2 linked regions of the Schizosaccharomyces pombe genome follow. The gene in region 1 interacts genetically with each later gene. Each region holds a gene or a part of one and is shown on either strand. Other genes may lie near its edges.

The links. A genetic interaction does not mean that the proteins touch.
Region 2: mutations in ini1 (region 1) and coq11 together harm fitness more than expected from each alone (negative genetic interaction), as found in Schizosaccharomyces pombe (one large-scale study listed by BioGRID).

What each region holds. Positions count from the first base shown.
Region 1 is NC_003424.3:2,491,978-2,499,756, forward strand, and holds ini1 (RING finger-like protein Ini1), read right to left. Parts: upstream 3,355-7,779; 5' UTR 3,342-3,354; coding exon 3,332-3,341; intron 3,291-3,331; coding exon 3,237-3,290; exon of another isoform or gene 3,166-3,236; coding exon 2,919-3,165; exon of another isoform or gene 2,880-2,918; coding exon 2,837-2,879; 3' UTR 2,425-2,836; downstream 1-2,424. Other genes in the region: guanyl-nucleotide exchange factor Sec73, read left to right, coding at 1-2,134; Npr2/3 complex subunit Npr2, read right to left, coding at 4,136-4,720, 4,762-4,898, 4,942-5,449. UniProt on the Schizosaccharomyces pombe protein: Required for pre-mRNA splicing.
Region 2 is NC_003421.2:2,271,299-2,277,183, forward strand, and holds coq11 (ubiquinone biosynthesis protein Coq11), read right to left. Parts: upstream 4,172-5,885; 5' UTR 3,901-4,171; coding exon 3,070-3,900; 3' UTR 2,869-3,069; downstream 1-2,868. Other genes in the region: SPOM_SPCC1840.07C (phosphoprotein phosphatase), read right to left, coding at 1-337; pdi5 (protein disulfide isomerase), read right to left, coding at 861-2,546. UniProt on the Schizosaccharomyces pombe protein: Acts in the coenzyme Q biosynthetic pathway.

The DNA of each region.
Region 1 (7,779 bases):
TCCTTATAGTCGTATGATCCCTGTTCTAGCAGAAAAGGATCATGTAACATTGAACAAAGCTCTGCACCTTTGTATGTCGGGAATGGAGTTTGAAAATCGGCCGTTGGATTTTTGCTTGCGGTTATTTTTACTTAAATCTCACCTTCCTAAGGAAACTCAACAGATTGATCGTGTCATCAATGCATTCTCTAAGCGCTATTTTGAATGTAACCCTGGGATGTTCAGTTCCCAAGATCAGTGTTACATTCTGGTGTTTTCTTTGATGATGCTCCACACTGACGTTTTTAATTCAAATAATAAGCATAAAATGACGAAGCAGGAATTCATAAATCTCTGTGACATAGATGAATTAGCTCCGGAGATAATGGAGTATTATTATGACAATATTACCTTTACTCCTTTTGTCAACCTGGATGATGAGTTGCTTCTCATTGAGAAGGAAAAGAACGAAAAGTACAATTTCACATCTCGTAAAAGGTTAGGGCTTTCTCCTTACACATTTACGTTAGAAAATCAATTGAATATTTCACGGCCTGAAATATCTCTCTCTTATGATGGAAAATTCATATCTCCAGGTATCAAAGATATTGCGTCTTTGCTGAACGTTAGAAAGTTGATTTCCAGCCCTGCGATAATTCAGCTTGTTTCTAAAAGATCTCATCCAATGGCATTCTCCAATCATTTTATTGGATTACCAGACAATGCTGACCCGGGACTAGTTGATTTTAGTATCAGTATGCTGGGCATTTTACCACGGTGTGAAAAGAAGCGAAGAAGTGTGGGGCACAATTCATACAAAGAGCATTTGGTTTTGTTGACCGCTTCTAGAATACTTTTTTTTCGTAATTTGGTATGGGCTAAAGATCTCATGGCTCAAAAGAAAGCTTATGAAAGGCGTTACAAAAATTTTACAACTACCTCGAGCAGTTTTGACACGTTGCAAGGTATAGATACAGAGGCTATGGAATATGAATTTCCAAAAATTCCTCCGCTTGTATTTACTCCACCTCTAGAAGAGTTTTCCCCCGATACCAGTTATTCGCTTGTTAATGCGTTTGCCTATTGTGACAGAGATAAGAAGAATGTACGCAATTGTTCTTTTACCGTCATATTTCGGGATGGATCTGAAGAGACTCTTTGTGCTCCAACAGAAGAAAGCATGATAGAATGGGTAGCTAAAATTAACTACATCTCAACACTTCGTACAGCTGGTCTGCGAATGCCTGTAAGTGATTCTTACCATCCTAAAAGAGACTTTTCTTGCTATCCAAAGTATATGGAGGAAGAATTAGCAGCAATTGAAGCTCAAATGAAACAGGATATGGAAATTGCACGTGCCCGGACAATTAAGACACGTATTGACCAACTTGAAACATCTATTACTGAGTTCAATAAGAAACTCATGGTATTACAAAGAAATGCCAAAAATTTATCGACATGTGCACCCCTACAGCCGAAAACAAGAGTAGTTATTTTACAAGCCCTTAAAAAGGTCGATGCTAAAGCGCAATCATTATATTTGGAAATCAGAAAAATGGAGTCACAATTGCAAGTATTGCGGTTTGAATCTGATTTAGATAAATGCATTTCTCTTGAAAGTTCTAATGACATCGACGACAGACCTTCTTCGACAAGCCCAAGCACCCTAAAAAATCCGAGCATCAACTCAATCAATCGTCAAACACATGATGTTGAAAAAGAATCATCAGATAGAGATGTACCGCATCTTTTGGATCCTGATAATAATTTCAACTTGAAAGGCAACCCCGAAAACCCCTCATCGACATTTTTTACTCCTGAAATACTTTCACCAAAGGTTTACTCGGACAATGTTAAAGATGAGCCTGTCGAAGATATTTTTGGTTTTGAAGATACAAGCGAAAGCTCGCCCGGTAAACCCAGCCAATTGAGGCTTCAAATTGAAGCCTTTGATGATGAATTAGCTGACACAGCTAGCTTAGGTTCCGTGACTACATGTTTAGATCAATGGCAAACATTTTCGGACGATACAGATAGCGGGTTTGCTTTGAACCTGTACTCATCAGAAGATTTTCGCACGGATCCATATAAGGAACATGATGAGTTTAGTATGAATAGCCTATCGAAATGGCATTCTGCTACTTCTGATAATTAGCATGTATATCAAATGTTAACTACTATTATCTAAATATTTGTTCATCTAAAGTGATTTCTCTTTTTTTTTTTGATTTTTCTTATTTGAATTCATATCCGCGTATAGACAAGGATTCCCGCTTTATTTATTAATTATCTCTAAATCCATAATAATAAATTTTATCTCTCTTAGCCGTTCGAAAGTACACATTGCTGTAGTTACGATGCTTTAAGAACATTAATTGAAGAGCGTAACATTTGGTAGCGATTTTGATGTATTATGGCAATTCTTAAATATGTGGAAAAATTTAAGCGTTTATGTTAATTATATATTTTATCCGTCGAGCTACTTGGATTATGAGATGATCCACAAAACAGAAGACTAAAGGAATAGGTGGATAATGAATAAACATGAGTCTAATTAACTTCTAATAACAATTTTTAGTTCATTGATAAATGTCGTACTACATTTCGAAATAATTCTGCACCGCATGTAGAAAGACGAAAAAGAGTATAAACTATTTTTCTTTGCTTTTCAGCGAATACGAGTTATAAAAATTTTTTTGTTTTCGTATATTAATACCCAAAAATTAAATAATGCTGCAAACAATCAATAGCATAGTAAGTTATAAATTGAAAATAATGAAAAAGCACCAAACATAATATAAATACCATAACCGGAAATTAGTGGAATTAGGAAACAAGTCTACCATTAGATGTACTATTAATACGTTGCACCCGGCATTTCTTTTCCAGCATTTTTAAACCTAAAAATGGTGAGTATGCGATGCAAATTGTTAACTTACTTTTTCCGTTCATAAAACCAATCCGTCCGACTGGAACCAAGATTTATAACACGAGGGCAACCATCACGATCATATTCCATACGTGTGCATTCCGAACAATAATAACAATCAGAAACACCTGGAGCTCCACAAATAATGCATCGGTCTTGTGAGCTACCAAACGCGCATTCATCACATATTCTCACCAACGTTGTCGGCCTTACATGAGAATCACAAATAGGGCATTTTTCGTCACATCGTTCACATACTGTATATTCATGAGTATTAGAATCTGCCAATTATTTAACTATGCCAAATTATAGAACACTTTACACTTACACTTTCCAACAGTAATTCCTGGTTGTCTTCTGCATAATACTAAATCAGGATGATCTAATAAACGTTAGTATTTAATTTCATTTTTATTTCCATACGCTTTGACATTGTGAATATACTCAGAGGATTAATTTCAATGCAGCAGATATATATAGTAAATTTACGACGGTCCTTCGCGTTACGTTATGCTTAGTAAAATATAAACATCCTCTTCTGATTTCAAATTTCGTACTCGCTATTATGGATACGTTAAGCTGCAATACAGCCATGCAATGGCATAAACAAGTCGGAAAATGCGCGTTAGCAGTTGAAGTGCTATTATAAACAACGTATTAATAATGCTTGCAAGTATGTACCAAATATACTCTCCATTAAGCTGAGGATCTTTTTTTGTTGCGCCATATTTACGGAATTTTTGAACAATAAAGTAAAATAGAAATAAAATCTACTATTAACATTTATGAATTTATGATCAATGGACATACAGTAGTCGATGTTTACTGATGTATTGATGAAATTCAATTTTCATGGTAATCTTGTAGAATAAATAATTCTTTGTAGTAAAACAAATAAATGACGAAAATAAAGTGTTAAATACTTCTAATTAGGTACGCGATAACCAAAATTTAGATTCTTAAGTTTCAGCGTATAAACAAAAGGCACAATTACAATCGTTTTCCCTAACAGGCCAATTTACAGATAATCAACCATTGTAAATTGCAGTGTTTTGATAATATCTTCAAATTTATTCATAGTCATAAATATGATGCTAATGTATTCCAATCCTATACTTGACAATTTTGAAATTGACAGCAGAACTCGCAATGAAGATAAATTAAAACGACTATAGCTCCGATCATCCGAAAAAATAACAAGACTAATCGCAAGACTATTTTTTTTATTCATACATAAATAAAACAGGCATCACCCAATCCAGCAATCATTTCATTAACAACCTTTGGAGACTTTTTCAATGTGACACACAATTCATCAAAATGGTGCTTTCCATCCAGCAAACCAAGCAGTTTTTTCTCTTCTTCGGTTAAGTTATTCCTCATAGTCCTTCGTTCTAAGTATGGGTATTTATGCACACGATATATTAGCCCTTTTATAGTACCGAACGAGATTAGCCTTCGAACGTCTAAACCTTTGAAAATTTCTTTGTTCTCGTTCATCCAATCCTTAACACGAAGTCCTTGCCTTAAACTACAATACAGTTTGAAAATAGTAGCAAAAGTAACGTTTTTCGCATTAGAGCTGTTAGTTGATACATATGCCGTACATTCTCTTTGAAAATCTGGGTCTTGTAAAAGGTTAGGAGCATTAGTAGTCATAGCATAAATATTATGGAATTGAAAAATATCAGCTATAATTAGACAACCGTAATATAGAAAGTGTTCCATGCATTTTTGACAACTTCTATAGCTAACATTAGCTAATTCAGCAATCCTTTGAACTGAGTTTATGCCATTAATAAAAGGATAAACCTAAAAAATTAGTCAATTTTAATTTTTTTGGAAGAGAGTACCTTTTGAACAGTCATATCCCAATTTTTGTCCATGAGTAAATCCAACTGAGCCGTTAAAATTGGTACATGAAAACTTTTAACAGTAGGAGGAGAAGGAAAAACGGGAAAAAGCTTGATATTAATAGAATTTTGGTCGTCTTAGAAAGTTAGTTAAAGTCCGAATGAAATAATTGCGCATACCTAGCTGTATCATACACTCACAAAAGTTGTTCATGTCCTCCAAAATTTGCTCAATTACGCTGAAAATTACAGGTCTTTTGTTCAAATCAGATATATAATGAATTTGCTTTTCTAAGACCTCTAAATTTCTCGCTAGTCGCTTTACTAGTGGTATATAACATGCTGAATCTTCTTCTTCATGAAAAATCATACACATGTTGAAAATCAAAGCATTTCTCTCATAATTGCTACCTATAATTGATATTGGATGTCCAATGACTTGATAATGATTAGTACAAACAGTAATTGTTTTGTTGCAAAGTTCGCGTTTCGGAATCACATAGTCAGAAATAGTTTCGAATGGTAAAAGACAGTTCTTTCCACCATCAACATTTGTTACCGATCCAGCAGGAGCTTCACAAGCTACTATAGGGCCTTGTAAGGGATCAAATAATGCAAAAAATATTGCCAATAAACGAGGCGGAAAGCTGTCAGCTTGATCCATCCATCCCTCTTCAGAATACTCCATAGGAAAGCTAAAGAATTTAAAAATTTCCGAGTTTTTTATCTAACCTTTAATTTATGAAGCTAAAACTTGTAAGATATTTATTTTAATATTTCGTTATGCCCCTACTGGTGGATGCAAAAGCTTATGTGCAAGTGTCGATTTGGGGACTAACTTCAAAAACCATATAAATCTTTGTACGCTACCCAGAAAAGTAGTTGTGCTAATGAATTTATTATTTACAAACAATATTCAGATTTCTGCATTGATGTAACGGTAAGATGGAAAGTCATATAACACTTGTGTACATTGGGTCAGTAAATTATACAAATTTGATTCTTAACGTCAAAGCTTCCTGACTACAGCCACATTTCGCTACATCATTAATGTTAATAAGGTGATAAAAATCATATCTGTATTAACATTAAGGATTATTTCGTATGGATAACAGATGCTAGCAGCCTCTAGGGTTAAAAGATTTTAAAAAAGTATAAAACTTGATTTTCTTAATCTTTTTGCTTGATAACTGCGCTAGTAATATCCAGTATACACAGTAATCATATAAAAATAGTTAATCTTTGAAACGATAGTTAATAGACTTCAGTCGGATAAATCAAATTTTTACTGAACAGGAAGTTTTAATAAAAGTATTTGTGTTATTTTTACGCTAGAATTCAAATACTAAAACTAAATTTGTGTAAAGCAGTATTATTACAACTTCTGCTTAATTCTTAACGTAAGCTTTCGCTTAACTTAAACCTAAATAAAAAGATCACAAAACCGCTAGATAATTGTAAAACCTTTTATCCATTCACTGAGTCAATTATTTGTCCATATATAAATCTAGAGAGAGAGAATTGTTTTGTTACTATAATTGATTTCCTATCTTTTCAAACATTTGAAGATATAAATCGCTAGTTTCCACAGAAAATTAAAATAATGAGGCACCAAGCCATATTGACTGTATAAAAGATAAATTAAGGAGATACAGTGGAAAATTGTGATTGAGCCAGTGAATTTTTTCGCTGTTAGAAAGCAACGAAAAATACGTCAAATCATTGAAACTTCAATTAGGCATAAGTGCATGAAAGCTCGATAATTGTTCGAGTTGTTTAGCTTAAAACGAATAGATTAAAGTGCGAAAAGAGCGGATGCGTTTAATTTTTAGGATATTTGGTTTCTTTTAATGAGCTTTAGTTCATTCTTACTATATCGTTTTGTAAATAAACAGGTTCTGCCTGGTTTTCTCCTTCCTATTTTTTATAAGCAATATATCCTTAGAGTTTTCATAAACTTGACAACTTAACAAAATTAGTTGCTTGAAGTTTGAAGGGCCTCCGTTAATGGCTTTTTTTTTGTTTTTAATTTGATACGCTTCACTTTCAAGTTGATCATTATAACGTACCTCAGTGAGATAAAGACTGACGAGTCATCCAGCTCTAGCTAAGTATACTCGAGATATTTTATTGCAATATCTAATAATCATTTAAACAAAACTTGAATAATTCTGTTAAAATCGCAATTCATAAAACTGTTATGTAATTGTCATCGCTTATACATTAGCTTGTGATATTTACGTGTTTATCCGAGTGCACTATACATTAAAGGCACTACCACACCCGGCCAAATTGAATGTTTTGGGATTTTAAACATCGAATTGAACAGTCTGTTACAAATTTTAGAGAAACAACTTATGAAGCTTTTAGCCGATGTAAATTATTCTTGAAGACACTTCCAAAAACATCAATTTTTTTTTTTGACAGTAATTATACTAGAATGCCTTTTGATAATATGTTTTGAAGGATATTGTATCGGACAATTCCGTACTGTGGAATTGCTAAAGAATCTTGGAATTGACAGTTTGCCTATTTCATTAACGCTATTTATTTTTGCATGCTTCTTTATATTATATTTATGCGTAGAAGCTTTAAGTTCAAAAAATATAATTGAGGTACGTGAATTTTAAGCTATCCGTTTTTATCAACTAGAAAAAGCAAGCGGGATTTAAGTTTAATTCTTAAACAGTGCTAACATCCTTAGATCATCGGATTGCTATGCATTCATGTCGCATTATTTATTTATTCCATTGTTCAAATTTCAGAATTAGCAGAGATTCAGAAAGTTTTTCTTTCCAAAACACAATCCTCTCTTAATCCTATAACGCTAATTTTGAATAGGCATGAGGCAGGTAATGAGGGCATTTACTTTATACTTGAAGTCCCCAAGAGAATCAAACCATTCTTAATTGCGCTTCCGGTAATCCTTGGAGTAGCAAGTGTAATGTTAGGGTTCCTTGCACATGGAATGAACAAAGCGTATGGATGGGTCATCTACAAAAAAATAGGTCCTGAACT
Region 2 (5,885 bases), on another chromosome or scaffold:
GTTTCCGTGTATCTGGGCCGCGATCGACGACATCTCCGGTTTGAACCAGTGTAGCATTACCAGCAGTCCATTCATGAGGAAAAACAGGAGATACAACGCCTGCTGCAGATAGTACATCTAAAGCATTTGGAAAGTCTCCATGAATATCCCCAATAGCATATACTACGGTCGGATATTTAATTTTTGCTTCAACGTTTCCTTTGAAATTGGGAAAAACTTTAATGAATTCATGATCAAATAATTGATTTACATTAAAATAACCGAATACGAATTTACAAGAAAAAGAGAGTAATATCCCCAAAAGGGTAAGTTTCAGAAGTTTTCCAAGAGAACTCATGAATGCTAAGGATGAGTTACTTTACCTTACTTTTACATGTAAAAGGTTAATCTAAAAATCCAAGATCTGTCAAGATTAATATATTTTCGACATTTATAGCAAGAAATCTCTTAATATGTTTAAATATATATCTCATTTTAGTATATATACAGAAAAGTAGTAGTTTCTAACTATTTAGTGCCATAGGGAAAGGCTGACAAATTTTTTTAACAGGCAAATTAGAAGCAATAGTTTCTAATTAACATGTTTGAGCTTGAAAAATAAAGAGTCACAGACAACGCAAAGGACATTTGAAAGAATTCTAAGCAACATGAGCACATGAAAATTTAAAAAGAAGATTTTGTGAATTTCCAGCAAGTATTAATGATTATTAATTAAGAAATTCGCAATAACAAAGAAAGGAATAATAAGAGATCAAAAATGCATCTCTAAATAAAATAGATAGTTGTTAAAATTTGACGTTTAGAGAAGCTTGTAGGAATAGTAATGAACTAGTAAATCCTATAACAAAGAATCAATACCTTTAATCTTGCTTTAACAAAGAGCTATAAATGAATTTTCTCGTTAACGTTTTTAACTGATGAACAGATTCGAAAGAATAATGAAGAATAAGCCGCCGGTTTAAGAAAGACACAAACAAAATTAGACTAATCCACAACGAAATTAAAATTAAAGATGAGTACTGTTTAATTTCACTTAGGTATACATATCCTCTAGGTATAGAAAATTCGTGAGGTAGGCCCTCTCCTGTTATTGCTAATACCCGAAAAGTGGTGTCGAGAATTAGGGATGAATCATCGAGTGTGAGAGGTAACCCTTTAGCCGAGGAATCCCAATAAAACATGCGAGAGGGATCCATCAAGACGAATCGAGAAGGACCCATTGGGTCTATATGAAACGTATGAGAAATCCAGGTTTTCCACTGTAAGGAATTAACCCATACAAATGTAACCTTCTTATTCTTAGGAAGGGGTAATGAATATTCGGCGGCTAAAAAAGCTACGTCGTCGTAACCTTTTTGTTTTAACATCCGTAGATGATCCCACCATTTTTCACGAGCAGTAAGTAATTGCTTCCTTTCCACTTCGCGAAGCTTCAATGTCCACTTGAGGCCAATCTCCTGAACTGTAGAAATAGCCTTAGATGCCTTGACTTGGCTCGTGGGATTGATTAGAGCAATAGCTAAATATGAATCAGAGTCCAAGTTTTCAACAACAGCTGGGGTTAATTCGGGAACGAGAGGATATTTTAGCAAAGATGCCCATTTGATGAGTTGAAAAGTGTTTCGCATCGCTGAAACAGAGCGTTCAGAGTAGGAGAAAGCAACGCCATGGCGTATGGCGACTAAGTGTGGAAGACGTGTGACATTTAATGTCTTAATTACTTTTTCGTCATCCGTGCGATAGAGAGGAGCAAATCCTACCAAATATCTAGCAAAAATGCGTAAGGAGTCGAAATCTTCAGGAGTAGATCCATAATCGTGCAAGTATAAGAAAAAAACAGGCTCATTAGCTTTTAGATTTTTGAACTCTTCTAAACGAATTATGCTTTGCGGATAAACCTTTCCGTCTGTTTCGTCTAGCTCAGTTATTAGATCAGCGTGCTTTGATAACACTTCGTAAGGAGTATGAGCCGTAAAAACTTTTTTTTGCCCGGCATTGTTATAATAAACAAGAGAAGGAAAAGAATTGATCCCAATTTCTTCGCATTTTTCTAAAGATGAGGCACAATCCACGCTCTTGAATTTTATTTTGTTCCTATATTTTTTGGACAATTGCACAATAGAAGTAGCCGAGTCGGTGTAAAATGATTGTCGTGGTTTTTTTTTAGAATCGATAAATAATACAAACCCATGTTGACGATGAGACAAGAAAAATTCGGAATTAATCTGTTTGAAGTCGATCATTTCGTATGAGCCAATACTATTTAGCCGCAAATTGGCTGAATTGGTGTTCAACAGCTTTCTTTCTTTAAAACTAGAAACTAAAAGTTCTTCTCTTACTCCTTGGTTGTCGCGATTAGCTGTCGGCATTATTAATTTATTGTTGACTTCTTTCTTCTCAACTGTAGCAGAAACAGAGCTCAAAATATTTTCGAACTCTTCTCCTTCTGGTGAATGCACCAAGTTAACTGCTTTACAAAAGGCATGGCGCGTAATCGCGAACAGGAACGCAATATAGAGAATAGATCTCCAAGCACCCAGCTCCATAAATAATTTACGACTGTAAGTCCAATTTGAATAAGTAAATTAAAAGGATTATGAACTTCTCTATCTTCTTAATTCTTTAATTCACCGAGGACCTTTCGAATGCGTGCGTTTGATATAGGTAGTGCGAGGTGTATAATAAGGTAAAATGTATGGTTACTACAACAGCTGATATATCGAAGCAAATATAGCTCGAGTTAACATGGGAAAAGAGCTTTCTTTCTAATTTTTTGAAATAACTTGTTTTAATTTTCTAGTTAATAAATACAGTCAGGAAGCAAATTTGGCAATTATAGTTGGAAAAGATTCTACGACTTAGATAACAGTAGTTCAAATGATGTAAATATTGAGCAGAGAATTTAAATTAGACGATACTTTTTCTCTTTGTTTAGCAATCATATTTTAACTTGAAAGTATAAAGACGTATTCAGGTAGATATAATTAAGACTGGTCAAAATTCATTACACATAACCCAATCATTCATTTTCATAAACTTATGATGTGTAATTTACTTTTAACAAGAGAATCATAGAGATTTTTGCTTAAACTTATGAGCCATAGATTTTAATTCGGAAATTTCCACAGGACCCTTGACACTGGGATCAGAAATAGCCTCCAAAGCAGCCAAAGCAACTTCCTCAGAAGGAAGGGGTTCAGCCGAAGCGGTTCCGAGGAAATTTAAAGCACCAGAGGTTGCTCGATTGATGCTGGATGAGACAGTAAAAAGAGACGCAAGGGCGCCTGTGAAAGGACGATCATTAAAGTTATACATAAAACCAGGACGGAGAAATATAGAACGAAGGTTTGAAATTTTAGATATTTCCCTTTCAGCTTCACGTTTCGTTTTTATGTAGCGGGGATCCAACCCGGGAGCCGCTGCATGAGCAGACACATAGCAATACACAGGGACATTAGCTTTGGCGGCAATCTTAGCTGTTTCAATAGCTAAATCTCGATTGATTGCTTCAAATGTAACTTTATTTTTAGATTGCTTTGCTTCTTCAGGTTTAGGTGCTAAAGGGTTTTGGCCAGTTTTAAACATGTTAGAGCTAAGACTATTGATTAAATGCGAAACTGGTCCTCTGGGATTCTGTAAAATCTTTTTATAGTTATTTTCCATAAGGATACCAACACTGTTCACCACTGCCGAGGCATCACGAAGAACAGGAAGTAATGAATTTGGATCTTTTTGAGCATCCAACGTCTCCCATTCAACATCATCCATCCATGGTTCTTTGTTATGCAATCCTCCAGCTCCTCTTCGGGATACTGAAACCACCTCGTAACCCTTAGCAATGGCTAATTTGCAAATATTATGCCCTAAAAAGCCTGAACCACCTAAAACAACAATTTTCATACTTAAAACGAGGGAGAAAGTAAAAATAAAATTATTTAAAGAATTTAAATCTTCAAATTAGACAATTTGATATAGGCCAGCCCAAATTATTATAAGGATTAGAACCCCAGAATTGTTAATGTAAGCTAACACCTCAAAGTTTCGTGATGCTTATTATTAATCTTAATAATTGAGAAACACAAAAATGCTGTCTCAAAATATTTTTAAAATTTCCTTTTACGAACAATGTTCAAAAAACCCTTTCAACCTGAGTAGTTAGTAAATCGTAGTTGAAGAGAATGAGGTAATGTGCTAGCTCAATAAGGAAGACCAAGAGATGGAAAGAGGTAATTAATTATCTTCTATTAGACTTATTAATTTATAAAAATATGTACATCATTTAATAAGTATGCAAAATAACCATCATTCATAATTGGAGTATTAGTAAAAGTTTGTCTTAAATGAGAGCGCTAAAAAAAATTAAAAATAAAAATGCTTTGATAATTTAGTCTTTAATTTTCTATACTTTATAAGCCATTGATTAATTTCTTAATTATCTTTGGATTTTAAATTCGTAATAATAAGATCTCAAATTCAAATACTTCATAAACCCATTTACAAATATGTTAGATTAATAACAAATTCAATTTTAAGCTAACAATAGAGCTTATGAATCATAATATTTATTCCGATAACCCTGAAGACACAATTTCGAGTTTTATGAAGTGTCTGAGAAGCCAGTTGATTGCTATTCTGTTCATACAGAAAATTTCGTGATTCATAGCAAGAGGAAAGAAAAAATCTCAAATTTTTTTTATTTTTTTTTAATTAATATTATTACATATTTAGTTGATCGATCAAGAAATCGTTGAGCGAAAGTATTAAATTCATATATTCTAAAACAATACACTGTGGTTTAATTTTATAAATTTAAAATAACTGATCGTTACGAGATCTATTAGAATTTTAAGTCTTCTTATTATTGATATCTACACCTTTTTTGTTTTGAAAATATATAAATCTTATTTTTTTTCTTTCATTCTAATCAACATCCTTTTTTTTTTTTTGAAATTGTTTTAAATCAAATGTGTATTTCATTATATTGTGACTGATAAAAATATGTTTGCGAAAGCAACATTTGAACAGATTGAGTAAATAGGCTATGATATAGTAAATCTTTAAATTTAATTTAATTCTCAATACCAAATAAATATTTCTTCAAAAAGGGTTACAAATAAATTAGCTATACTGTGGAGTATATGATATATCGATCCCCCTGATGTAACAAATATAACATATAACAATATGTGTTTAAGTATGAGTATATTCAGAATACATTGGAAATAACGAAAATCCAAATGAAACATTAAGCATAAATTTCTGATTTCTAACTTGCCCTTTTTATTTTATTTTATTCATCATAGTTGTCTACTATTCCAACACAAGTTATGATGTTAATGAGTTGCTAGAATGTTTATTTGCGAGACAGTAGTATAAATATCCTTTCGTAGCTGCTGTACGTTATAACGAACAACTTAACTTTCTTAAATTTTTCTCAATAAATACTTAAATTTACATTGAAGAATATAGCTGAAAATAAATAAACTCACGATGGCAATTTCTCAGCCTCTTTAAGTAGATTTGCTTTTATAGTCACTATGATCTACTGGTTTAGTTCTGTGTGCTGCTTCGTCAAAGTTGTAAGTCTTCGCTTAATTATTAGCGAAACTTTATTTTATCAGATAGGGATAATATCCAAGAAAATTGTACTACCAAGCTGCTTTGAGAAGATAATACAAGTACTGAGATGAGTGTAAAAAAGTGCCAAGGAAAACGAGCTGCGCCCTTTAACTTCATCTGTCTATATTCTAAATGCCACCTTTAAAACAAAAATCTAACTTGTCTTATAATGTAAAAACCCTAAAGCTTCGCACTTATGGTGACACATTTAGTACAAATTCTTTCTATTCCATACGTTCTTTGCTGAATAAAGAGCGAAGACCGTC